Mus musculus: one gene and its partners. The protein of the gene in region 2 interacts with the protein of the main gene of each other region in a biochemical or structural test. Links are inferred from orthologs where the notes say so. Each region holds a gene or a part of one and is shown on either strand. Other genes may lie near its edges. The genes, in order: Brf1, Rb1, Abl1, Mapk14, Ccnd2, Lin9 and Prdm2.

Evidence for each region.
Region 1: the proteins of Rb1 (region 2) and Brf1 form a complex in vitro, tested with the Homo sapiens proteins (2 studies listed by BioGRID). The link is inferred for Mus musculus from reciprocal best matches to the Homo sapiens genes RB1 and BRF1.
Region 3: the proteins of Rb1 (region 2) and Abl1 form a complex in vitro, tested with the Homo sapiens proteins (3 studies listed by BioGRID). The link is inferred for Mus musculus from reciprocal best matches to the Homo sapiens genes RB1 and ABL1.
Region 4: of the proteins of Rb1 (region 2) and Mapk14, one has a biochemical effect on the other in vitro, tested with the Homo sapiens proteins (3 studies listed by BioGRID and IntAct). The link is inferred for Mus musculus from reciprocal best matches to the Homo sapiens genes RB1 and MAPK14.
Region 5: of the proteins of Rb1 (region 2) and Ccnd2, one has a biochemical effect on the other in vitro, tested with the Homo sapiens proteins (4 studies listed by BioGRID). The link is inferred for Mus musculus from reciprocal best matches to the Homo sapiens genes RB1 and CCND2.
Region 6: the proteins of Rb1 (region 2) and Lin9 form a complex in vitro, tested with the Homo sapiens proteins (2 studies listed by BioGRID). The link is inferred for Mus musculus from reciprocal best matches to the Homo sapiens genes RB1 and LIN9.
Region 7: the proteins of Rb1 (region 2) and Prdm2 form a complex in vitro, tested with the Homo sapiens proteins (2 studies listed by BioGRID, with this or other methods). The link is inferred for Mus musculus from reciprocal best matches to the Homo sapiens genes RB1 and PRDM2.

Annotation. Positions count from the first base shown.
Region 1 is NC_000078.6:112,966,122-112,969,621, forward strand, and holds part of Brf1 (transcription factor IIIB 90 kDa subunit), read right to left. Parts: intron 3,361-3,500; coding exon 3,321-3,360; intron 3,237-3,320; coding exon 3,144-3,236; intron 1-3,143.
Region 2 is NC_000080.6:73,323,023-73,327,249, reverse strand, and holds the start of Rb1 (retinoblastoma-associated protein), read left to right. Parts: upstream 1-1,427; 5' UTR 1,428-1,608; coding exon 1,609-1,727; intron 1,728-4,227. UniProt on the Homo sapiens protein: Tumor suppressor that is a key regulator of the G1/S transition of the cell cycle. The hypophosphorylated form binds transcription regulators of the E2F family, preventing transcription of E2F-responsive genes.
Region 3 is NC_000068.7:31,790,939-31,794,438, reverse strand, and holds part of Abl1 (tyrosine-protein kinase ABL1), read right to left. Parts: intron 2,202-3,500; coding exon 2,017-2,201; intron 1-2,016. UniProt on the Homo sapiens protein: Non-receptor tyrosine-protein kinase that plays a role in many key processes linked to cell growth and survival such as cytoskeleton remodeling in response to extracellular stimuli, cell motility and adhesion, receptor endocytosis, autophagy, DNA damage response and apoptosis.
Region 4 is NC_000083.6:28,725,842-28,729,341, reverse strand, and holds part of Mapk14 (mitogen-activated protein kinase 14), read right to left. Parts: coding exon 3,498-3,500; intron 3,117-3,497; exon of another isoform or gene 2,638-3,116; intron 986-2,637; coding exon 871-985; intron 439-870; coding exon 367-438; intron 1-366. UniProt on the Homo sapiens protein: Serine/threonine kinase which acts as an essential component of the MAP kinase signal transduction pathway.
Region 5 is NC_000072.6:127,144,549-127,148,048, reverse strand, and holds part of Ccnd2 (G1/S-specific cyclin-D2), read left to right. Parts: intron 1-1,866; coding exon 1,867-2,026; intron 2,027-3,500. UniProt on the Homo sapiens protein: Regulatory component of the cyclin D2-CDK4 (DC) complex that phosphorylates and inhibits members of the retinoblastoma (RB) protein family including RB1 and regulates the cell-cycle during G(1)/S transition.
Region 6 is NC_000067.6:180,639,873-180,643,949, reverse strand, and holds the start of Lin9 (protein lin-9 homolog), read right to left. Parts: upstream 2,801-4,077; 5' UTR 2,632-2,800; coding exon 2,553-2,631; intron 2,101-2,552; exon of another isoform or gene 1,958-2,100; intron 1-1,957. UniProt on the Homo sapiens protein: Acts as a tumor suppressor. Inhibits DNA synthesis. Its ability to inhibit oncogenic transformation is mediated through its association with RB1. Plays a role in the expression of genes required for the G1/S transition.
Region 7 is NC_000070.6:143,209,910-143,213,871, reverse strand, and holds the start of Prdm2 (PR domain zinc finger protein 2), read left to right. Parts: upstream 1-1,162; 5' UTR 1,163-1,257; intron 1,258-3,962. UniProt on the Homo sapiens protein: S-adenosyl-L-methionine-dependent histone methyltransferase that specifically methylates 'Lys-9' of histone H3. May function as a DNA-binding transcription factor.

The DNA of each region.
Region 1 (3,500 bases), on a different chromosome or scaffold from region 2:
TTTCTGCAGCAGAGAAAGTACAGTCCTGATGCAAATGGTGCCGGTTATCCACGTGCAAGAATAACCTGGCTTATTCCTCATGCTCTGTGCAAAACTGGCTTAAATGTGGTATCTGAGAGTCTAAGAATATTCAGGAAAGACAAATAAAATGTTTGTGATCTAGGGTTAGGCAAAATACCTCAACAACACTAAAACACAACCCATAAAACACAGATAAATAGATTTTTGAAAGAATCATGATTTTTTTACAAGAGAATTACAAGCCTGCCCTGTGAAAGACATTGTAAGACAAAGGTGAGCCATAGTTTATTTACAGGTAATGTCTGAAAGGACAGTCTAGACACAGAAAAACAGAAAGGAAGGAGAGAAAACAGGGGGGCTGGCTGCATAAATGCTGACAGTGCTGTTCAGACTATTTGCCAACACCACCTCCACCAGACCCAACAATTCCATCTGCCCAGTACCAAGGAAGTAAGTATGGGATGAGCCCGTACATAGGGCTACCTGGGACTGATGCAGATGCACTTAACAGGAGTGCCACACTCCTCACCGCACTAACAACACCTACCCAATACAGAGGGTCATGCTGCCAATGAACTGCATAAAAATCATGCCAAGGAAAGGCAAGGGAACACACTATGTCTACAAAAGATTTCTGCACAAAAGTATATAAAAGACCACGAATTCAGTGACAGAAAGCAGCCAGTGGCAGCCTGAAGTGGGGAGAACAGGTGGATGCCATTACAAAGGACACAAAGATAGTGGCAGGGACAAATCTCAGTGGCAGAACACAGTGACTGTGGTGCTGGCCTCACCTGACACCAGGGTTGTCCACAGTCAACACTCAGAAGCCAAAGGTGCTTTAGCTCTGTCTCCATACAGCCTGCAGCGTGCACACAGTGCCTTCTAGTGTTTGATCTGAAAGGCACATCTCTGTCCCCAGCTGTAGAAGTGGACCTAGAATATCCAGCTAGTTGTTTTCTGCTGTGCTCCAAAGCCATGATGTGTGGAAGAGGGACACAGATAAAGTTCAAGAAAAAGAGGAAACTACACAAAGGACATTAGCACAGACAGCTAAGACCAAGAGAACTCTACTAAAAAGGCTTAGTAAGTAGACAAGCTTGCTTCAGACCACTAAAGGAAGAAGGATGCTTCAGATCGGATCAAGACACGAAACATGGTGTCTGTTGTATTGGAGAAGTCTCCCAGGTGAACATAAAGTGAAAGAGAAGGACAGAGACTTAGTAACACCTGGGTCTACGTGTGCCCCAAGGGCTTCAGGCATGAGGGTGGCAAAGTGCCTCCTGTGGAAGATGAGCCTTGGAAATCATAACAAGGCAATGGCCTTGTATGTGTATGAGGGGCCACTGGAGGAAGTAAGGGGCGACCAAACTCTGAAGGAGCCACTATGTGACAGGTTCTCAATATCTATCAAAACTGACAGTGGGACAGCCTCACCTCTGTGCCCATAACACAAGGTGCCCCTCTGCAGTGTCCATGGATGATATTGTGTGCCCAAGAAATACCGAGGAGGAACAAATCAGTAACAGGTCCTGGTCACTGCACGGCACCACAGCAGTTAGTAACCAGCTCACAACACAGCCCCAGAACTTCCATAGCTCCCTCACATGTGCAAGAGAGGAAATATCTGGAGACTAAAAAACCGCCAACAGGACAGATCTCACAGGAAGTTCACTGCCCCAAATGCACGCAGCCAGCAGACTGAGAACAGAGAAGGCAGGCAGGAGGCCTGGAAGGTGGAATAAGATTGGAAGGATGAAGCCTGGCAGAAGTGAGGCCTGGTAAACACAAGGCAGCAGACTGGGCATGTACAGGATGCTCGCCCAATCATCAATAAGCTAGGACAAGAGAAAACCACTACACAGAGAAACCACAAGTGGCAAACAACTCTGCAAACAGACAGAACCAAACCCTGGATAGGAATGAGTAGGGCAGCTATTGAGGCCCAAATGATGCCTTCAGGAATGAGGGAGAACCCAATGGTGTGACAGTCAGGACACTGGGTCATATTCACCCATCACAGGATCTCCACAGATACCATGGCCCTCTCAAACCCTCATATCCACAGAGATTAAAAAAACGCAAGCAAAAAAAAACCCCTCTTGACAGCAATGCATGGGTGGGCGTTGACTCACCATGACAGATGAGGGAACAATGTGCCCAGCACGTGCACCCTAGTCCATGGGAGCTAACATGAGGATATACTACTGTCCCAAGATCACCAAGATGCTGCGGGGTCAGGCAGACTTAAGAAGAAATTAAGAGCAGCAGAGTCACTGTTTGCAGACGACAGAATCAAATACTTAGAAAACTCAATGGCAAAATGACTGCAACTACTACAGGTGGCAGGAGAGCTCACACTGCGCAGGAGCAGTCAGGACACAAGCTGCAAGTTGCTGTGGGGACCAAAGGGGGAAAGATGCTACTCACAACAGCCCCACGGAAGGCAGCAGCGTGGTACTGCACAGGAGCAAAGCCTGGACAGAACAGAAGCTAGAGAAGGACAGAAAGACAAGTGCCACAGCTTCCCCCAAGCTGACAAGTAAGGCAGACTGGGCTGGAGTGGTGTAGACAAGGTGATCCTAATGTGGACACAGAACATAAGCAAGCATCTGCAAACACTGAGGGATCCCAAAAAGGACATTCACACTTGCTTGGCATGTCTCAAGATGTTAGCACAGTGCCAGTCTGATGGGCAGAGATGCCCAGAGTAGCTTCCCCAGAACAGGTGCCAAAGAAGGAAGCAGGCACCCATGCTTTTTCATTCTGCACAGCCCAGAGGAGAGTCATCTAACAACACAAACGGTTACAGCAACTCTGAAAAGCCCACAGCAAACAGCACAGGGCATAAGAAAGAGCATCCCTACAGTCGTGGCCTTGCATCTTCAACAGTCTGAGTGGACAGCAGGGCTCCCAGTACGGCACATGCAAGGTTGAAGCTCTTCTACGGCCAGTGAACGGTGAGGCGGGGGAAGGCGTCCCAGCAGTAACATGATACCCAAGTTAGTGCTCCAGTGTAGGGAGTGACAAGCAGCCAGGGATGGGGTCATGGATCAGTGAGTAGGGAATGTCAGGGGTGCTGGTCTAGGGCCCTCATGGCCCATAATGGCAGGGGAACTCACCATCCTTTGACAAGTTGGCCAGAGCCCCTTTTGCTTTTGGTCGACTGTTTTCTAGCTCAATTTCAATGGCATCCTGGTAACTGGATATTTCACCTAGAGTAAGACGTTAAAAGCAAAAAGTAAGCACACTGATGTCCAAGCAAAAAGGAAGCACGGGTGTGAGAAGCGGTTAATTACCTTCAACTTCTTCTAGCTTTTTTGATAGGACCTGTTCCAGCTGAAAGACAAAAGAGTCTTGGGTAAGGAGTCAAATGCACAATGTCTCATTTTTGACAAGGTTGTGGGATGGCAGAGCTCATCAGAATCGAGTTGTAGGCCTGGCCCTCTCCTTCCAAACAACATGCATGTTGCCCCAGA
Region 2 (4,227 bases):
GATGACCGGTCACCAGCTCTGTTACGCGTCTGAGGACCCAAGTTCCTTTGCCATTCTGTCTCAAACTTAAGAGTAGCTTGCCACAAATACCAAGGTGGCATCAATTGGCCAAGTGTCACATTCTCTGATAATTATGAGGCAGGACTGTATCATTTCTGTATATTATTTGATCAGGCTCCCACAGTCTATCTTTTATCTTCACCAAACCTAGACTGTATGTAGCCTGAGCTCTTGCCTAAATCTGGGACAAAGTGAACTCAAGTGCTATTTTAATTCCATTCATTCTCCGTGGCTGCATCAGGGCCTGGGGCTCTACCTCCTGACAAACATTTGGTCTCTAGAAGGCTTCTGAAGTTAGGCAAGTCTGAAAATTGAAGGAGGCCCATGTATCCTTCACTCATCTGACATCAAGGCAGAAAATAAGCCCAGGCTTGCAACCTACCCAATTAAGTTCTCGATTCCTCAGTCCTTGCTCAGCTGTTCCAAGATAGTTTACACCAGAACAACAACTGTATTTTATTCACAGCACTTCAATTAGTGAGTTGTATGAATAAGGACTGACAAAGGGAGAAAATTATGTTGACTGACAGGTAAAACGTAACTAGAAAAGCTACCATTGCTGAGCCAGCTTTTGGTGGCGGTAGGTAGTTCTAGTATAAAGTATGCTCTTTTCCGGTGTCTGTGCGTCGGCGACATGGTCAGACAAATATTACTTGGGTTCGAGTCCTCTGCCAGGGACCTGCTATGTGACGCGGGCAAATTGGCTCCCCGAACTCCCCACTTCCAACCCGCAAAAGTGGAATGCCGACCTTCCCAGTTTGACCGGCTGTCTCGGAGAAACCATTATGAAAGGAGGCCGGATCGTGCGCATGAACACGGCCAACTGGTTTTCTGCTTTCGTCTCAAACGCGTTTGTAAGCGATTTTTCAAAGTCGGGTCCGCCTGGCAAACTGGTTTTCAAAAGCTACTTTCCCGCTAAGATCTGTCCCGCTCGGACCGCGCCTCCTGTTTCCCCATCAAAAGACTATAGTCTGTGCGTGCATCGCCCATCTTCCCTTGTCTCCAGAAGGCCACCAATGGCCCCACCCTGGACCGCCCACCCGGGCCGAGCCCACCTCCCACTGGCCCGGCACGTTTGTTTTTGTTTTGCCGGCCGCGCGGGCCGGGCGAGGGGCGCGCCCTGTCCAGCGTTCTCCCAGAGGCCGCGGCTCCTCGCAGCGGGCCGGCCCCGCCTCGGCTGGCGCCGCCCACGGGGACGACGCGGGCGGAGACAGGCCCGGGCAGGCGCGGCTTCCCCGCGGCTTCCCGCCCGCGCCCTCGCCCTCGCCCTCGCCCTTGCCCGCCGCCGCCGCCACCGCCGCCCCGGTTCCCCACTGACGCCCGCGGCCCGCGAGCCTCGCGGACGTGACGCCGCGGGCGGAAGTGACGTTTTCCCGCGGTTGGCCCGGGCGCTCGGTTGCCGGGCGCGTCCGGTTTTCCTCGGGGGACGTTCCCATTATTTTTGTAACGGGAGTCGGGTGAGGACGGGGCGTGCCCGGCGTGCGCGCGCGCCCGCCCGCCTCCCCGCGCGCCTCCCTCGGCTGCTCGCGCCGGCCCGCGCTGCGCGTCATGCCGCCCAAAGCCCCGCGCAGAGCCGCGGCCGCCGAGCCCCCGCCACCGCCGCCGCCGCCGCCTCGGGAGGACGACCCCGCGCAGGACAGCGGCCCCGAAGAGCTGCCCCTGGCCAGGTGAGGAGCGCGGCCGCCGCGGGCCGGAGAGAAGGGAAGGGAAGGGAGCGGGGACGCCGGGTGCATCCCGGCGGGGACGCCGGGCGGGCGCATCTCGGCGGGGCCGGGCTGGCGGTAGGAGCGGCGCCCCGGGTCTCCGGGGTCCCCTTGGTCCCCCATCTCTGCGGGGGTGGCGGCGGCGCGCTGACACGGTCCCGGGCTCGCGGGCGACGGGGAGGGCATCCCGAAGGGGTCTGGGCTGCGGCTTGACAGGTGTCGGGCGGGTGGGGCTCCTGCTCCCGAGCGAAGTGACAGGTGCAGGCTCTACTCCAGCGACGCCCAGGCGCGGAGCCGGCGGGTCCCGGAGAGCCCCGGTCAGATGCAAAAACAATTGAAATAAATATTTAAAAAAAGAAAAAAAAAACTCGACCGGTGTTTGTTTTCTTTCTTCCTCCCTTTTTTCTCCGTGGAGATCCGAAGCACCCCCGGGGTGGGTTGACTTTCTCTTTTGCAGTCGTCCTGCGATGCAACAGTTGGGAGCCTTGCCCTCTCTGAGCTTGCGCTGCATCGGCAGCTTGGTCCTGGGAGAGGCCAAGAAAAGCCTTGTAGGCAAAGCGCAGGGTCGTGGGTGTCAATTGCTCACGGGGTCCTCAGCTCCCGGGCTTTGTGGGGGTTTCTTTAGAACAATGCTTTGAGGCCCGGGGGGATTTAAAGCCATCTGTGGAGACTGATGGAGCAGAACTCTTAGAAGAACTGGTATGTGGGCAAAAGTTTCAGGAGACATTTAAATGCAAGGGCTTGGAAGTTTCTAAACTTTGTTCCCCTTTTTTTTCAGGGTAGAACTCTTCTTGCGTGCTGATTGGCCCGCAGCATGCTTCATTATTTCTTGCCTTTTGCCTTTGAGCATTCACGGATTCTGGTGCCTCCCCCTCCCTTTTTTCTTTTTTGGTCTTGTGTTTGGTACTGTGTTCTCTCAAAGAACTTTTCTCTCCATTTATTAAGTGGAATCTAAACTTAAGTTCATGTGGATCCAATAAGAACAACAGAGAGATATTTATTGTATTTCAACATTTTTTTTCTTGACTGTGCTACTGTGTGATTAAGTAACAGAAATTGAAACAATATGATTGTTGTTATTGTCAGCACTAGTTTTGAGAGTATAGATCCATTGTAGATGGGAGTTGTTTTTGTCTCTCACGGTCCTTCAATTTCTAGCCCATCATTAAGTTCTCGAGTTTTTGTTGTTGTTGTTGTTTTTGTTTTTTTGGGAGGGGGTGTTTTTGTTGTTTTTAATTACTCTGACTCTGTAACCCAGGCTTGCCTTAAGCTCTCTGTTTTACTGCCTCTGCCTCCCAAGTTCTGGGATTGTAGCCCTGATGGGCTATCAAGCTCCTTTCTTCTCATTGAGCATCAATCAAGGCTCTTTGTGAGACCCAGACTCTTAACAGAGTTCAGGTCAAATCCTAAGAGACTGAAATAATTTTGGAAATTGCTTGTCTAAGTCTATTAAAATTCATATTAGATGGATTTTCTTATGGACCAAATAAAAATCATGTTCTTAAAAAATAAATACAGAATAAAAACTGTTCCAGGGGAAGAGTTTGCTTTTGTTTCTAATTAAACTCTGATGTATCCAGTGTGTGGAAGCTTCACTTTAGAAAGAGCAGTAACATGTATTCTAAAAGATTCCATGCCATCTATGGACTTATTACTGATTATTGTAGAGTAACTGTACACATTGAAGTTCTGGTCATTGCCTGTGGGAAAGACAGACCCAGTTTCTTTCTCTTTTATGTACTTTTAACTTTGGAGAATTCTCAAAAAGTTCTCCTTTAAATTAAACTTTACAAGACATAGTCTCATCTTGGTTACTCATTGCCACTAAGGTTCTCAAAAAGCACTTACAGTTGATCTCTGACTTACCTATTGTCACGTGTGTTCACCATAGGGATTTGCTACCTCTTCTGAACTGCCATTAAATGAATGTTGTGTTATCATTGGAGAATACACTTAGACAAACACTGATGATATATAGATTAGTCACTGTGCTGTCTTGCTACAATCAAGAGAAGTGGTAAACACTACAGATACAAAGCTGCTGCCAGTATAACAAAACATGCTGCTATGCAGTAAACTTTATCTTTTAATTATAGAAATATGCTGAAAAATAATGATAAAGCTATAGTTTAGTAAACACACAAGCCAGTAACATAATGGCTTCAGGCATTGTATGTCCTTGTATATATGATTCTCTCCTACCAGTGGCAGCTTGCTTACAGCAGCATCTCCCTAACTGCACAAGTAGCAAATGGATTGTGCCACAATGTTATGCTGGTTAAGATGGGCTCTAAGTGATGTTTCTGCACCATTATAATCTTACAGGACTACTGTTGTAAACTGCCTTACTGAGTGACACATCATGTAGTGTATGCCTGTTCTTAGCAAGGATAAGAGGGCTGCCTCAGTCTGAAGCTTAGAAAATAGCTTAGGTATGGATTCAACCCGGTCCGTCTCCACTGAG
Region 3 (3,500 bases), on a different chromosome or scaffold from region 2:
AGGTGGAAGGAGAGAAGCGTCCTCTGACAGTCCTACGTATGCCAGAGCATGCTCACACACAAACAAACATATCACACACACACCAAAACACCCAAACACATGTAACACACACACGCACATACACACACTCTCTCTCTCTCTCTCTCTCTCTCTCTCTCTCTCTCTCACACACACACACACACACACACACACACACACACACACGCAAATACAGCCACTTTCTCACACACAGACATGTGCACACACACAGCATGCACACTCACACACATGCTCTCTCTCTCTCTCTCTCTCTCTCTCTCACACACACACACACACACACACACACTCGCACACGCACACGCACACACAGGATGTACAGGTACTCTCAGTCCCAGCAATGACATTTACCAGGCTCTCTGTGACAATAGCCCAGGAAAGATAGGACAAAGCAAAGCTATCTACTCATGCACACTACAGCGTGTAAGGGCGAGAGGCAGCGTGAGCCTCCTGGGGCGCAGGGTCTCTCAGGGCTGTAAGTCAGCTGCCATGTTCTGATCCTAGCTCTGTGACTGTGTAGCAACATGCCTGTCAGGCCATGGGCTGTTTCTAGGTGGGTGAGATTATCTCCAAAGTCCCTTCCAGCTCTAAACAGTTTGTAAAAATCTTGTGAGCTCTCAAAGTCTTGGCATTCTTTTGGGATTTTTTTGGTTTTCCGAGACAGGGTTTCTCTGTGTAGCCCTGGCTGTCCTGGAACTCAGAAATCCGCCTGCCTCTGCCTCCCGAGTGCTGGGATTAAAGGCGTACGCCACCACCGCCCGGTGCACACAGATTTATGCTCCATGGCCAACTGAGTATGGAAGAAAGGAGGTGGAGACTGATCACGTGACAGAGCTGCTAGTGAGCCACCACCGTCACCAGCAGCTGCCACACCATAGCCCTCTGGTGCAGTGGTTTCCCAACCTTCCTAATGTTGTGGTGACCCTAAGCATAAAATTATTTTCATTGCTATTTCATAACTGTAATTTTGCTGTTATGGATTATAATGTAAATATTTTTGGAGATAAAAGGTTGCCAAAGGGGTCATGGCCCAGAGGTTGATAACCACTGTACTACTAGAGGGAGAAAAATCAAGCATTATGGATCGACCAACCTAAAAGCATCCGCCTCTGCTAATGTACTTAATGAAAGAAAAGTCAGCTCAAGTGTCAGGAGCTACCCGGGTCTGACTGTGCAGCTTCTAAGAAGACTGAAGCTAGAGGCACAAAACAGATCACAGCACAGAGACACAATGAACAAAGTCTAGATTCTGGAAAGTCTAAAGGAATGGTGACAGAGTTTATCAATAAATGAACAGCAGGGAAATACAGAACACATCAATGTAGTGAGGGAGCCACATCTGGCTCCCAGGTGAAGCAAATACTGAAATGTGTATGTACAAAATAATATATTTGGGATTTGCTTTCAAATAACAAGAGGTAAGGGAGTAGGCGGGGCACAGGGCTCACTACTCAACTCCACCTTCTTTGGTCACCCTTGGCATGAGAAGTTCTTAAAGATGGACATTGTGGTGCACACCTTTAGTCCCAGCACCTGATTTGAAATCCCAGCAACCACACGGTGGCTCACAACCACCTGTAATGAAATCTGACGCCCTCTTCTGGTGCGTCTGAAGACTGCTACAGTGTACTTATGTATAATAATAAATAAATCTTTGGCCCAGAGTGAGCAGGGACTGAGCGAGCAGAGTTGACTGGAGCAAGTGGGGCCGACTGGAGCAAGCAGAGGTCCTAAAATCCAATTCCCAACAATCACATGAAGGCTCACAACCATCTGTACAGTATAATGTACTCACATACATAAAATAAATAAATAAATCTTTAAAAAAAGAAAAAAAGGAGGAAGCAGGAGTTTAAACTAAGCCAGAAATGAACCAGAAAGAGGGCATAGTGGTGGAGGAGAGACGAGGTATAGCAGTAAAGAGCCTGCGAAGCAGAAGGGGAAGCCCCTGGCCATGACTGCCCAGGACCTGGACCTTACCCCACACGTCCGACTTGATGGAGAACTTGTTGTAGGCCAGGCTCTCAGGTGCGGTCCATTTGATGGGGAATTTGGCTCCAGCATGGGCCGTGTAGGTGTCCCCTGTCATCAACCTGCTCAGGCCAAAATCAGCCACCTTCACCAAGTGGTTTTCCCCTACCAGGCAGTTCCGGGCAGCAAGGTCTCTGAGGAAGAAAAAGGGTCATCTGTGGGTGCTCCTGGCTGACTCCCTAGGTGTGTAGCTCCCCTACTATTGACAGGTATGACGCTGACAAAAGAAGACCAAGTGTAGTCCCCAGAAGCTTTCAAATACCCTGCTGTGGAGCAACAGTTCCTCAGCAAATACCAGTCGGGCTACAGCAGCAACACCACAAGCAGACAGGGTGGCAATGGGGGCAGGTCCTGTCCCATGACCTGGAGTTGTTAATTACCTCACATATAAAATGACGACAGTAACAGGGTGTGCCTTGGGCAGCTGTATGTGATATCCCTACTTTCTTCTTGCTTCCTGATGTTGACTCAAGTGTTTGAGAAACTCTCCCATATAATCACCTCCTGAATCTTCACGGGAGGAAGGGTCTAATCTTTGGTTCATGGCTGTTAACCATGAAGTCCTGAGGTAACTGGGAACCAAGGAATGAGAGTATGAGGCAGCTCAGGGCAACGACTGCGTGATACAGCTTGATCACCAGCAATGAGAGAAAAATTAAACACACAAGAGTTGTGCCTAATAGGATTTTTGGTAAGGCATTTTTAGTATGTGAATGGAGGGGGAACGGAGCTGGCCATGCAAGGCGAGCCAGAAGTCAGGAAATCTCAATTTGCAGCATCAGAGGCTACACTTTGCTGAGCGACAGGAGCATTTGGATTGGGCTCTCGTGGAGCAGAAAAAGATCTGTCTTCCGAGGGGCTGCCAGCATTTCATACACGCTACTTATTCCTGGCTATGAAATCTCATGTTGAGGTTTCACACTTGAGTTAATTGGGTAGGAAAGGTCACCACAGTGGCGTGGAGAACATCTTGCATGACGGAGTTGGGCCAAGCCCATCAGGCTCCCTCCTGCACAGGTTGTCACTCTGCTAGGAAGCCACTTCCACCAGCAAAGCATGCAAACCCAGATAATTGTGGCACACTTGAAGGTCAAAACACTCTGGGTTTTAAAAACAGCAACCGGCTTGCATGTATATAATTCTCCAGCCATGGAAACATCCCTAAACCCGGTGACAGCTGGTAGGCAAGGAAACACAAAGAAAAGGAGGAAAAGCCACACAATGAAGCTAAGCCCAGGCAGAGAGAGGCTTTACCGAGTGAGTGCTGGCCTCAGGAATGCTCGGTTTCAGAGGGAACCAAGACTATCAGGAAGAAGGCCTTTTACGAATTTCATTTAATATTCAACTAAATCCGAAGTGGCTCAGAAATGAAACACTTCTTTCCCCAGGGATTAGCTGCTCCACTGGCCCAGGCCTTGAAGCATTTAGTCCCG
Region 4 (3,500 bases), on a different chromosome or scaffold from region 2:
CAAATAGGACAGGACTCAGCGGGCGTGTCAGCAGAGGGACCCACAGTCTGTTTAGTACATAAGCAAATGTGAGAACCAGATACCTCTGAATACAGGTGGCCGTGTACACTCACCAAGGATTTTCAGGAATAGACTAAACTCATTAATAAAGGGACTTGCTGCAAAAATATGACAGGTGAGTTCTAAGCTTGTTTTCTCAACCCCAAAGCCTTTTCTTGGCAAGGTGAGCAACTCAACAAGAGGACAGACCTCAAAAGCCACGCTGGAACTGCAAAGAACTGAGTCTTCCCCACCAATGAGTTAGGGAAGCACACATCTACCACAGCACACACATGAGAAACAGGGCCAAAACGTGTTAAAGGATACGGTCTGTACCAGGAAACAACGTTCTTCCGGTCAACAGCTCAGCCATGATGCAGCCCACGGACCAAATATCCACTGGAACAGTAAAGAGGATACAAGCACCGACATGGTTTCTATTCATATTCATGGACACAAATGACTCTAACTATGAGTGAGAGATTCAAGTCAGGATTTAAGACACCCAAGGTTTGACAATCTTTTTTATATAGAAACAAACTTATTAAAATTGTCACTCAAGAAAAGACTCCACAGGTCGTGCAACTCAGAATATAATTAAGATAAAAGAAATAAGCAACTCACAAAGGGGCAAAACTTTGTTACTGGTAAATGGTGAATCCTCCCAGGAAACATAGGTGTTAGGATTAAGAGACCACTCCCCTCAGGTAGTGTCACAGAAAGAATGACACGGAAGACGTAAGAAGTAAGGCCCCAGCTGCTAAGTCACCTGAAAGCCATGTTAGGGAGCACCCCTTCCCCATCTGGGGAGGCGACTGAAGCAGTCAGTACCTGTCTGGTTATAGTGCATCCAATTCAGCATGATCTCTGGGGCTCGGTACCACCTGGTAGCCACGTAGCCTGTCATCTCATCATCAGTGTGCCGAGCCAGCCCAAAATCCAGAATCTAAGGGCAAGAGCAGAAGTCAGGCATGGGAGCAGCAAGTTCTGCTACCTCACAACCAGGAAAGCAGAAAAGTCACTTTCAGAAAGAGGGCACCCCAGTTTTCACTTAGAATGCATGACATGATAAAACACTCCAAGAAACTTTAAAAATAAAGCTTCAAGCAAAGCAACCCCCCCCCCCATTTACTCAAGGATAAAAACATATGCCCACACGGGTGTGCACAGGAATGTTCACAATAGGTTTATATTCCGAACCACAAGTGCTCACTAATAGGACAGCAGCGTACAAACTTTGGTGTGCTTATGAAAAGGAAACTGCTGAACAACTGGGAATGCTGGAGCACACAATACAGATGAGCACACAATTCAGTAATGTGCATGACCCTCGACAGTTCCATTTATACGAAACAAGATTAATCCAGAGTCAGAATTGGGTCAGTGGCTGCCTGCATTGAATGAAGGGTGAGAGTCATGGGTCACTAGGAGGGGACACTCAAACCTTTTGAAACTATGGAGGTTACTATGTCATCACTGTGGTTACATGGACATTACAACTCTACTGTAGTCTCTCCTCCCCCAGCCTGAAACCTGCTTGCTCAGGGGTGGAGCTTCCCGCTCATCTGTTCTGTCACGCCCACTGCTAGAACCTGCGGAGCCACACACGTGCACCTTTTTACTGGACCAGAGATTATTTGGCGGAAATCGGGTCCCCTCCCCCTTCTTTTATAACTAGTGTCCCAACAATAAAATTTGAGCTTTGATCAGAATGAATTTATCTTGGCTCCGTTTCTTCTTTCGCCCCGTCTAGATTCCTCTCTTACAGCTCGAGTAGCCTTCTCAGTCGAACCGTTCATGTTGCGAGCTGCTGGCGGCCGCAACACTCTACAAAGAAGTACATTTCTTTTCCTTTTCCATTTCATGTACATGGGTGTTTTGCCTGCATGGATATCTGTGCACCAAGTCTGTGCAGTGTCCACAGAGACGAAGAGTGGGCATCAGATGCTCTAGATGCAGATGGCTGTGAGCAGCCATGTAGCTGCTGGGAAATGAGCCATCTCTCTAGCCCCCTGCAGACATTTCAAAAAATTCATTGCTGGGCAGTGGTGGCGCACGCCTTTAATCCCAGCACTTGGGAGGCAGAGGCAGGTGGATTTCTGAGGCCAGCCTGGTCTACAGAGTGAGTTCTAGGACAGTCAGGGATACACAGAGAACTGCTGCCTTGAAAAACCCAAATCCAAAATAAATAAATAAATAAATAAATAAATAAATAAATAAATAAATAAATAAATAAATAAAATCATAAAAAAGCATAGTGCTACTTCCTTTTTTTCTTTTTCTTTTTTATTAGATATTTTCTTCATTTACATTTCAAATGCTATCCCGAAAGTTCCCTATATCCTCCCCCTGCCCTGCTCCACAACCCACCCACTCCCGCTTCCTGGCCCTGGCATTCCCCTGTACTGGGGCATAGAATCTTCGAAAGACCAGGGGCCTCTCCTCCCACTGATGGCTGACTAGGCCATCCTCTGCTACATATGCAGCTAGCGACACAAGCTCTGGGGGGTACTGGTTAGTACATATTGTTGTTCCTCTTATAGGGTTGCTGACCTCTTTAGCTCCTTGGGCAGCTACTTACTTTTTTTTTTTTTTTTTGTATGCTGCTTTATTGTATGCTACAGCCAGTGTATATAAAATAGTTAAACCTTGTGAGACAGAAACCCATGGAATTCAGAGAGGTAGATGTTAAGGACTGACGAGCAGAAGATAGTGTATTATGGCACGTGTTAAAGAGAAGCTTTTGTACAGACTTCAAACTTAGCTCTCTTGAATAGTCACTGGTTCATGAAAAGTGGTTTGAGAAACCTCAAGATAGATGACTACAAAAAGGAGCAGACTTTCTGGGGTCTGAAGGGATTTGTACTTGAAGACCCTCCAGTCAGCAGAGGGTCATGTTGAGCATTCTGCAGACAGAACTGCTTCAAGCCTGCAGCTGCCAGGGAAACCTTCACGCGGTTCAGCCCGGCCTCCAGCCGGAGCTGCTGAACCACCTTCTTCATGGCGGCAACGCTAGAAGAACCCAACATGGCGCTCGGGACAGCAGGGCTGACTCGTCAGTCTGGGCAGGGGGCAGCCTCTACTTACTTTTTAAAGACTTAATTTTAATTTACTTAGGTTTTATTTAGATCATTCTGAGATCTGCAATTTTTCCTTTTAGGAACCTATCTAATTATCAGTGTTCCAGGAAGGCTTAACTGACATTTAGACTATAATATCCCTTTATTACAATTAATGTGTTGCATTTCTAATTTAATTATCTTTTAAAAATGAAAACAAGATACCGACATCTACTTCCAAAGTTACTTAAACAGCTTGTTCAGCCTAGTTCAAGTCTCACAGTCTGATATTCCTAAGGACAAATGACTTTTTAGATAGCAAGTCGTGGCTTAAGTGTGGTTGGTCACGATTCTGGGGAACACTTAAGAGAAGCAAACAGTCCATCTCTTCTTTCTTACCTT
Region 5 (3,500 bases), on a different chromosome or scaffold from region 2:
TCTCTTTTACAGTGGTTTGCACACCTTGCACTGGTGAAAGAAGACCACCCCCTCTATCGACTCCCTCCCCCTTGCTGCCATTGCCTGGGCCTGCTTAATCTCCTGGGCAAAGACTGGCTTCTTGAACTGAGCCCTTTGTGAGGAGCCGTCCTTTCTGGGTCTGTGCTGCCACCTAGTGGCAGACATGTGCAAGGCTGGGGGAGGAATTGCCTAGAACGCAAAGAGGGGCCTGAATGACTTCACCTTTGAAACACTGCCAGATTTCAGCTGCTTCTGGTTTGGTGTAAGAGGCCCCTAAAGGTGCTTTCTTCTGGAAGATCTGCTTCTTTCAATAATGGTGCCAGAGGACGAGTTTGTGCTCACATTGCCCTGGAAGAAGGAAGGGTTTGGGATTCAAGCCATTTCTGATTTTTACGTAGTTAAGGAATTTTTTTTTTTTTATCCTAACTTCCTGCAAAAAACCCAGGCAGACTTGAAAGCTTGTGGGGAGGAAAAAAAAATAAGATTAGAATTGGAGGCCAGCTTGTCTATTCAAAAAGAAAAAAACAAAACAAAACAAAACATGAAAAAGAATCTTCTATGTGTCTGGTGTGCTGGAGGACTGGAGGTATTTTTCAAGACACCCTAATTTTTCCAGGACCGGCAAAGCTAACTCAATTCTCCAAATAAAGTGTGCCAGCTTCCCATCTCCTCCCATCCATAAGTTATGCACCCTAGAAGAACCTTCCTATTTTACACGTGAGGGGAGCTTGCTCCAGGAAACACCATAGCTGGTCCAGCTGACAGGGGCTTTATAGCCGGTCCCCAAGTTTAGCAGATGGAGCCAGGTGAACTGAAGAGTCAGTCACTGCCCGGCAGTAGTAGCATCCTGCGCTTTTGAATCCTACTGATTGACCAGGATCATTTCCTTTTGTTTGCACCCCCCCCCCCAACGAAACCAAAACAAACAAAAATTGGGACCTTTGCATAATTTCAAGCTAGCCTCAAACTTCTAGCCTTAAAGAGGTAGAATCCCAGACATGCACTTCCAGGTGTGCATCTCTTTGGGGTATTATTATATTTAGTCCAGTTCATTTGAACATTATTCCCCATGTTTATTTTACAAAAGGAGAGGCACAAAGTAGCCTACTAGTGGGGTGCAGTGGAGCCCCCTAAAAGAGACCGTTACAGCCCAGTACATGGGCTGACCCTGTTTAAGCACCTCCACATTGCCCCAAATCATAGTGTGCAAAATGGAGTCACAAGTGACCACCTCAGGCCCTTTAGCCATGAAGACAAAGGCCAGTGAAGATTTAGGTGAAAGGGTGAGTGTCATATCCCAAGACTTCTTCATGGTGTGTCAAAGGGGAAGGTGTTGGCAGCAGAGAGGGAAAATGATACTCTTCCCCCACAAGGAAAGGCCAGCGAACTGGCTGCCAAGGAGTTGGGCCAAGGAGGCTTCTGCTATTCTGCATCTGTAAGCATCATTTTTTTCCATGAGGAGTAAAGAGACTTAGCCAACAAATTCTCACCGCAGCACCACAGTGGCCTTAGCTAGATCTTACTATAGGCCCACCTTTCTGAGTGGGCAGGCAAGAACATTTTGTGGAGTCAGGGGTAGGGGTGAGGTAGGAAGAAAACTAGAGTAAAGGCTGGTCTTGGCAGTAGTTACCTGGCCTCTCATTATTTTCAGTGGAGCCTGACTTTTTTTTAGCCCAAGAAGAGCCAGGAGCAACTTCAAAGCATGAGGGGCACAGTGACAGATGAGGCTGCAGTGGAGCCTTAAGGAGCATCTTCAGAGCTGGCCGGGAACCCAGCCCCCAACCCGGGCCTGGAGTCAGTCTATGGATTCTTAGAGCTCTGCCCTCTTCCTCCCACCCTTTGCAGGAGTGGGAACTGGTAGTGTTGGGTAAGCTGAAGTGGAACCTGGCCGCAGTCACCCCTCACGACTTCATTGAGCACATCCTTCGCAAGCTGCCCCAGCAAAAGGAGAAGCTGTCCCTGATCCGCAAGCATGCGCAGACCTTCATCGCTCTGTGCGCTACCGGTGAGAGGGGGCTCACGGGGCTTCCACGGGGCCATGGGAGGTGGGGTTGGGTGTCTAGGCAAGTCTGAGTAAGCCAGCCTGGAGCCTCGCTCGTGCTTTCTCGGAACTAGAACATTTTCTCTCTCTGCTTCACTCGTAAGTTCTTTATGAGGGCAAGTATGGTAAGGGGAAGGGAGTCGGTGCCTGCTAAAATATTGTTTATGGTGTCTAAAGTGCCCTTTGAAGATTATAGATACTGCTCTCTGGTTGTGTTTAAATCTTTAATCTTTTGAGGAAAAGGACGGCTTGGAGATAAGCCCTAAAGGGAATTTAAGGAAGGTGGGGGCAAATATAGGTTAAAGGACCAACGACAAGATAAACATGGTGCCCGCCCTGATAAGGGGGAAGGAATTCCTTCACCGTGGAGCTGGTTTATTGCCTTCTTGCTGTTTCCTGTTGACAAGGGAGTGAACCTTTAAGCAAAGATCCGTTTATTCTGAGCTCTGGAGAGGATTTTTGATACATAGCTTTATTGGCTTCACACCTGGGTAGAAGACCCTAGCACAACATTTCTCAACCTGTGGGTCGATACATCCCACAGGGCTTACGTATCAGATATCCTGCATATCAGATATCCTGCATATCATATATCTACATAAGAAATCACAAATAGCAAAATTACAGTTACAAAGTAGCAACGGAATGGTTTTATGGTTGGGGGTCACCACGGTATGAGGAACTGTATTAACGGGTCACAGCGTTAGGAAGGTTGAGGTTGAGAAGCGCTGCCCTAGAACCTTGGGAATTCGGGGGCCAAGTGTCAAAAGTTCATCTCCTCAGGGTTAGCAGGTAAAGAAAGAATTGATCATGAGTGGGGTGCAGCTCAATTCATCCAGGGTTGTTGAAATGTGTTGATGTGATAGGGGGTGGGGGGAGGTGGAGTGTAACATTTTAATTCCTTGTAACATTTAATTATGTGTTTGTATAGCTGATGCTATAATGAACAATAGGGCCTGTGCTTTGTTGGAAGTTCAGAGGTCAGGCAGACTTCGTTACTTAGCACTGAGTGACCTCGCTCAGGCTGTTTGACCTCTCTGAAGTTCATCTGGGATCTGCAAAACAGGCCTTTGGATGTATCCTTCCCTAGCCTTGGTGGAGTGGGCAGGGAAACTGACCCACAGAAAAGCAAGCCTGGAGCTTCCTGCGAAAGTTCACTGATGTTGAGAATGGCTCCAGTTAAGGTGGATGCGGAAATGGATACAGCCTCTCACTGGCGTGCCGGATTCCATCTCCCTGTTTTAGAGGGGTGTGTGTGTGTGTGTGTGTGTGTGTGTGTGTGTGTGTGTGTGTGTCACGCACACGCGAGTGCGTGCACGCACTCAGTTTGCGTTGGTCCAGCAGCCCTCGGGGCCCTGCATCAGGCCTTGTAGCACACTTGTGGTGTCCCAGCTCCTTCGTGGAGTCCCCTGCTGTTCCTACAGTCAGGGAAGAGGAT
Region 6 (4,077 bases), on a different chromosome or scaffold from region 2:
ATGAAGATCAAATGTACGGAAAGCAAACGGGACTGTGCGTGAGTGAGTGCAGGCGTGCGTGAGTACATGCATGTGTATTTCTTTTTTTATACACCTAGTTACAGTAAATACTCAGGAAATGATAACTTTTATAATTGATGTTACAGGAGCTATTAGCTAATATACTACATAGCTCCCTTAACTAAACTGGGGGGAAAAATACAAAAAAATTAGTGTTTTTTCAAATCACACTGAAATTACTTTCTCTTTCCAAGATCATGCTCCATCTTATTAGTAATATTACTCCAAATTCAGTTCCATTTTAGTCAAATTTTTAAGTCTATTTGTGTCATTGCTAACAAATCAAAATTACAATTCTTGCTTTTGACAAACCGGTAGTTTAGCTAAAAAAAGACACACACACACCCTTCCCCAAGTCCCAGAGACATTGCATGGTAGTATCAACAATTAGGTTATACATAGTGTAACAGTGTAGCTAATATCTGAACCTCAATGTAAACCCTAAGTTTGTACAAAGAACAAGTAAGAAAATCCTTCTCCTAAAGGTATGCTCACAGACACATCTAGAGGTGTGCTTTGCTGATCTCCTAGGTATTTCTCAATGCAATCAAGCTATCAAAATTAACCATCACCACAGGCATGAGGAAAAGCCTAAGTGGCTCAGCTCTGGTGGGCTGCTGACCAACAACCGTGTGACTGCAGGTGAGACAGCCCTGAGAAGTCACAGAGCGTACCCATTACAGATGATGAAACATTTTACAGTACAGCCCAGGCTGGCCTCCAACTTAAGAGTTAGCCTTTTGTCTTAGCTCACATGTGTTAGGTTAACACACGTCACGGTGCCCAGCTTAAGAAAAAAAATCTCTTCAGATGGCAGGTAACATTCTACTTACTTGAATTATCTATATTTTCAAGCATCGTAAATATCAATCAACCATATTCTCCAAACAAGAACGATAAACTTAGGGATATTCTATAGATAATGCCTTATCAATACAGTAATCACTAGCTATTTAAATATAAGTCAAGATTAAATAGAAATAAAAGAGCAGCACCTGAGCCATCTAGTCACAGGTGACTACCGGTTGCTCACTGCACACTAGAAAAGTGACATCTCCATCCACCATCGAGAACGTTCTTTTGAGACTTAGCACTGGTCTAAATCAAAATTAAAACACAAACATTCTGAATACTGGCAACCTGAACTTCTGACTTAACAATATAAGAAATACACGATATCAAAGAAAACAGAATTAAGAGTTATCTCTCTTTTAAAGGCATATTTGCGTTGCCCACAGATACATCTTACAGAGTTCGAGTTTTTTCTTTGCTTTTGAAACGGGTTTCTCTGACCTGACTTCCTGTTGGGGCACACCAAATGGTTAAAAAACAAAACCACTACTTTATTTGTCATAAAAATGATACAATCGTTCTAAATACAGATTGCTCAGTTTGGAGGTTTGTTTGTTTGTTTGTTTTCCAAGACAGGATTTCTCTGTGTAGCCTTGGCTGTCCTGGAGCTTGGTATGTAGACTGGGTGGGCCTCGAACTCGGAGATCCACCTGCCTCTTCCTACCGAGTGCTGAGATTAAAGATGTGCGCCACCACACCTGCGAACCTTTCGTTGACCAAGGGCTACAAATACACACCACAGAGTACGTGTTGCTTCAAGACCATTTTGTAACTAAAATGCCTTTTAATAATGTGTGCAATATGAAAATTACAAAATTGTTCCCTTGTCCTTAGGTCGCAGAGTAGCTGGCTTTACTGTCTGCGGACAGGTGAACATCCGTCTCAGAGGTTGTGAGTATAGAAGGAGAAGTGAGGCAGTGAACAGGGGTGGGTGTCAGGCAGAATAACATACTTATATGGGCTGCGGTGCTCACATCCGTGTGTAATGCCCACCCCACAGTCTAGAGACACATCCACTCAGGAGGGAGACTGGGAATGGGGCTACCTCGGCACTGTATCCCGGCTGGATCATCTCCGGAAAGGTCCAGGGCCACCTGTAGTCCCAGGGGAAGGGGCCAAGCCTGTGTGACACGGAAGAAAACACTTCCAGGATGGACGCGGGGGGTCGGGGGGAGCGATCACAAGTGCCTGCAGAAGCAGGAGCCGTCAGAGGATCAGATCGGAGGCCCGGGGCACCAAGAGGGGCTGTGTCCCCGGTGCCCAGCCCGAGCCCTCCCGGCCCCCGGCCGGCGAGTTACATAACCGGGCGGGCGAGGAGGACGGCGCCCGCAACTGGGGGGCCGCTCTTCGCCCACCCCGGCCGGCGACAGCAGTCGCTCCGGGAGAGCAGCCGCCGACTCCGTCAGGACAGGCTGGACTCCCGGGCTTTCGGTTTCCGGCGCTGGCGCTCGCACAACCCCAGAAACAGACACACAAGACACCATAACAAAGGCGGCGACGCGGCGGCAGCGCCTGAGGAGGAAGGCCGGGGACTGCGGTGGGCTGGCGGCCATCCCACCTGCCCGGCAACCGGACTCGGCCGGTGCGACCCCGGGACGGGCAACCGGCGGGAAGGAGGGCTGCTCTGAGACGCTACTTACTCTCGTCAGGCAACTGGTCGAGCTCCGCCATCTTGAACGAGCCGCGCCGCTTTTTCAAAGGCTGCCCGCCCCGGTGCATTGTGGGGCGGAGACTGTCTGCGAGGGAGGTTCGAATGAGGAGCTCGCGGCCCGCGGCGCCTGCTCCCGCCAGGCCGTCCGGCTCCGCCCGAGCCCGGCGGGAGGGGGCCTCGGGGCCTCGCCCGCACCCCGGGCCGGGCCCGGAGGAGGACAGGGGACGCCTCGCCGAGAGGCCCGGTAGGGCCGAGCGCGGGGGGCGCGGCGCCAGCACCGATGCGCCCGCCCGCGCCGCCCCCCTCGCCTGCGCTCGCTCCCGGCGCGCGGCCCGCGCTGCGGCTGCGGGAACTGCAGGCCGGTTCCCGAGGGGAGCGGGACGCAGGCCCGGGCCGGTGGCGCGGCGGACGAGACCTGGGTTCCTGGTCGCTTGGCACGGAGGGGGCTCTGCCCAAAGTAACGTGGACTCGGCTCCCCAGATCGCGTTTCTCCGGCGCCCCGGCCCCTGCCCTTCCCCCCCACCGAGTGCCCGGGCCGCGGCGTCCGCTTCGCCTGCAGGTCACGGACGCGGGGTCCGGGCGGCCCGGGCCGGAACCTGAGCTGCGAGCGGCCGGGACGAGACCTTGAGAGGTCACCAAGTTGGTGTAGGCCGAGGGCTAGTGAACTGTCCTGCTTTCTTTCTCTAATGCGCTCCACCCGAGACCGGTAGTGAGCTGGGAGCCTCACAGTGACTAAGGATGCTTGGGGAAGACACAAGTGACACTAGCCAAGTGTAATGAAACTGGATGGGGATTCCTCCCTTGCTGAAAGAAGCCGGGAAAGATTTCACGGTTCCCATCTGTAACACTTTCTAGTATTTAAACCACGGTGGCTTTTCAACTACTATTTTTACAAGCGTGGTTGATCTCCGGGGTGGGTCTATTCTCCAGGGATTTATGAGGAGGGGGTAGTCGGCGAATGGAGAATTTAAAACAAAACAAAAACGAGTGGATGAGTGACTTCCACAAACTAAAAAGTTTAAAGATGGTTCAGTGAGGTGAGAGCAGATCTAGACAGGCCAGCCCAGGCTAAGTTGGGCTTGGTAAAAAGAATAAAGCGAGGTCTTAAGTAGTACGAAGGGCAGGCTTTCATTTCTTTTCTAGAACACATTCAAGAATGTGAGGCACAGGTTGGAGAAAGACAAGATGAGACTCTTGGGCGAGCAATAGAGTGGAAGACTTCAGGCTCAGGAAAAGGGCAGCAGGCTGTGAAAGTTAAGGGTGCAACTTGGGCTGCTACTTGTATCAGTCCCAGGCAAGCTTAATACTTGTGCTTCAACTTCTCCTCAGTAAAATGCAGGCAAAAATTCCACTCTTGCTTAATGAGTGGAAAGAACTTATAATGGCTCCTTGCAGCCAGCTGTTTGCTGCTACAGCCTCCAGTTTATAGACAGTAGGGAGTACCGCTGAATCTGGGGTGGAGGGAGGGGCAGGATGGAAAATCCACCTTTCGAGAGGTGAGGGGAAAGACTAGT
Region 7 (3,962 bases), on a different chromosome or scaffold from region 2:
CATAAGCAAACATTTGAGGTTTTATTTCCTCTCTCCACGGGCTCTGTGGTGATCCAGACCTTGACAACACTTGACATTGTCCTCACCTGTCAACAGTACTGATGAGATAATCACCATGTCACCAATCCTTTACAGAGTATACCACAATCCACGTTGATTGACGTACTTTCTAAACAACAGGTACATTTGATGAGCTTGTCTGGTCTTTCCAAAGTTTTGGAGGCACATTTGAACATAATACATTATCTATTTTTCAGATCCTTTTCTCAGAGGACTAATACGGCCCACTACACTTAGATTTTTTTTTTTTTTCCTTTCTTCTCAGAGGATAGCTTTATCTTGAAGTACTCATGGCTCTGGGTACCATCTAGATGTGACAAGTAACTTTCATCTCTCTACAACTTCAGATTGATTGGCAACTATGTTCCCGTCAAACCTCTTTTCTGGGATGTCAGAAGTGGTCTCCAGTTCAATCCAATCCATCTCCAGCTCACTTGTTTGTAAATAGTGGTGCAGTTCCCAAGGGCAAGATGAAGGCCATGCTGGGTACCACAGAGCCTTGGCACTGACCTAGGCCCATAGCTGGCAGTTAGCAAATGCCTCCTGGTAAGGGATGAATACAGCCGCTCAGTTGCATCTGCTTTGCTGAAGTTTCGGGTTTGTGTGTGTGTGGCTATATTGGTCCTTTGCACACCATTTAAACGGTCTATTTGCCTGGCAGTGGTCTAGTGAGTGGCCTTCAGAGTGGATTCTGCTCTTGTTTTTCTTGAAACAAGGTCTAAGGGTGTGGTCCTGCCTTCCTGGAATTCACTATGTAGCTCTGGCTGCTTCTGCCTCGAGTTTGGGGATTAAAGTGTGCGCCACCACGCCAGTCAGTCGCGGTCGTCTGAAGTAGGGTGGCTTCTCTGACCAACTCTTGAGTTTCTCAGCCCTAACTCTATAGTGGTCAGGCTGGCCCGGCCATGGCGACGCGGGCTTCCCTTCGAGGTAATAACGCTCTGGGGCGAGCGGCGAGTCCGTGATTGACAGAGAGGGCGACACAGTCCGCCGGGGTCACGCCTGACCGTCGTGTTGAGCTCCTCGGGGTCGCAGGCCACGAGCTACGCGCGGGGTCGGGGTCGGGGTCGGGGGTTGTGGGCGCCGTGCCGACGTCACTTCCGGCCGGAGCCAAGATGGCGGCGGCGCGGCCGCGGGCGCCAGAGCGACGGCGGCGGCTGCGGCTCTGGGCTCGCTGAAGCGTTGGCACGTCGCGCTCTGGTGAGGAGCGGCGGAGCCGGGGAGGGCGGGCGGGCCTCGGGGGAATGTCCCTTGGTGTCAGTGAGGAGTGTGGCCACCGCGGCGGGGGCGACCGGGCCGGGCGCTAAGGGGATTGCGGGGCGGGCTGACGCGCCCCCTTCGAGCTTCCTCCGAACGGCCGGGAACCGGTGGCTGGCGCTGGCGCCGACGCGAGGCGGCGCGAAGGCTCCCGCTCCGCGGCTCTTAAGTCCCCGCGGCCAAGTTTCGGGTCCGTTTGGTGACGGCGCGGCGGACTCGGGGTGCGCGGCTGCGGGGTCGGCGGGGAGCGCACGTGGGCCCCGGGCGGTCCCCATCCGCAGGGCTGCGCTGATCTCTGCTCTTTTGTGTCCCGGGTTGAATGTGCGAGCGCATCTGCAATCCTCGAGTTGGTTCTGTGCCTCGAGCCTTTGTGTTTTTCACCCCCGTATAGTTTCCGTGTGCTATAAACCTGCCAGTGGGCTCCTCGAGTGTCCCCCATCGACCCACTGGTGCATACGTGCATGTGTCACAGGTGTGCGCTAGCATACATAGGACTGGTTTGCGTTCGTCAAAAGATCCATCTACTATGTCTCCGAGGGTGACGAGCGAGACACGAAATAGACCTTAACAGGTCAGTGTTCTTCCACGATCCACGCGTGAAGCACCGGCCAATGGCCTAGCACTTACCGTTAGGTCGGGCCTCGAGCTGGGGAAACAATCCCACAGATCGCCGGGAAGCCCCGTTGCCTCTTACTACCCAGCTGGAATTTACACCTAGAGAAATGGGGTTTCCCTTCACCCCCCGCATTTCATGTATTGAGGATTTGGGTGTATTTGACACGTGAACTGCCTTTTGCCAAGTTCCAGTGCCTTGCCCTTAGGACCCTTTAATGAAACACGGGAATGTTTGTTTCTAGTACACAGTGTCCCCAGAACATGACTAAAATTGTATCTCAAAGTTTTTTTGTTTACTTCGAGGTTATTCTTTAAAGTAATATATACAGCAAAGACAACCTCCCAATGGTTTTTTGTTTGTTTTTTGGTTTTTGTTTTTCTTTTACCTACAATAGCACAGACTACAGTTGGATCATTCTGCCCACGATGATATTGGAAAAGAGGTTTTAGGATATTAAGAGGAGGAACTGAGAGACATTATTCTGTTGTTTTCCTGTTCTATAGAGTTCTGTTTTTGAGATTGCACGCAGCTGCCACCCTCCAAGCTCTCTTTCACACACTTTATTTGATGAAATTTCTTTTTCATGAGCAATCTCGCCATAGCTTTGAAAACCTTCAGAGATCATTTAATAAGCCCCCTTTATTCCAAGCCATGGGAAGAGAGCTGTAAATCCATTGTTGGAAGCAACACTCAGCTGCATTTGGTGTTATTTCAGGGCTCGACCCTTCCCTGCCCCCCCCCCCCAAAAAAAAGCCGTCGATGCATTTACAAAGTTATTAGAACCAGGGACATAATGAGAATGCTCAATGAATGTTCGCTGTTTGTTGATGGAAGACTTGGCTTCGTTGAGGTTTGAGGTGGTTTGTTTTACATTTTCTATGCAGTGCTCGGGATAAGAAGGTGTAACTTTGTAATAATGTATTAGCTCTGTAAGCACAAAACAGCAAAACAGTCGCACTGGAAGACAGTTGGAAAACAGAGGCGCACAAAGAAGGAATAGAAACCGCCTGTAAACTTCCGCCTCCTCAGATAGCCATTGTTAACATTGTAGCAGATTGTCACTAGTCAGTCCCTCATGGTGTGCCTGCTTGTATTTCTTTATTCACATACATTCATTTATAGAAGCATGCACTTCTGTATAATAGTCTATAGAGAATTGATATGTTGTGTATATCGATGAGGCTTGTCTTTCATTATGCTGTTGTGTGTTTCTATGTCTTTAACTGTTCTTCAATTTGATGTTTAATGGCTGATATGTGGATGGGCCATCATTCATTAACCAATCCCACATTGATTTTCAAGGCTTCTAAAGTCTGACATTTCTTTTCATTAATTTTCGGAAGTTTTTTCTCTGTGATGAATTTAAAAATTCTGCAACTATTTAAGATGTGAAAACTGGAAAATCTGCTTTGGTAGTGTCTGATGATACATCTTTTTTTGTTTGTTTGTTTGTTTCAGCTACCTAAGAAGTAACCTCCCTGATTTCTCTGTGGTGTCTGTAGCTCACACATATCTGCACACAGTTCCTTTTGATGATTATTTTATACTGGCTATTTATTTATTAATGGGATTTTTTTTTCTTTTTTCAGAATGCTGATATCTTTTCAACTTTAGATCTGACTTAGACACCTTTCAGGGGTGTGTTAAATCACAGTCTCCAGGGTGGAGAGCACTGTGGAGTATTTGCTATTTTCATGTCTTCTGACTAGTTTCGTGTTAGTTTTAATATATGTAAAGGGGAAAAACCCAACAGCAAATATGCAGCTTTCACTAGCAAACTCCATAGTGGAAGTGTATGTGGGCCTTGAGGGGATACGTCAGACCTGCATGCAGAGAGCATCTGCAGGGAATGCTGCATGTCAGACCTGCATGCAGAGAGCATCTGCAGGGAATGCTGCATGTCAGACCTGCATGCAGAGAGCACCTGCAGAGAATCTTCAGGGAATGCTAGATGCAACCGGGACATCACCAGCTGAGCACCTGCTGAGCACTTCTGCTCCTGCTGACATGCATTTAGGGCTTCATAGTTTGA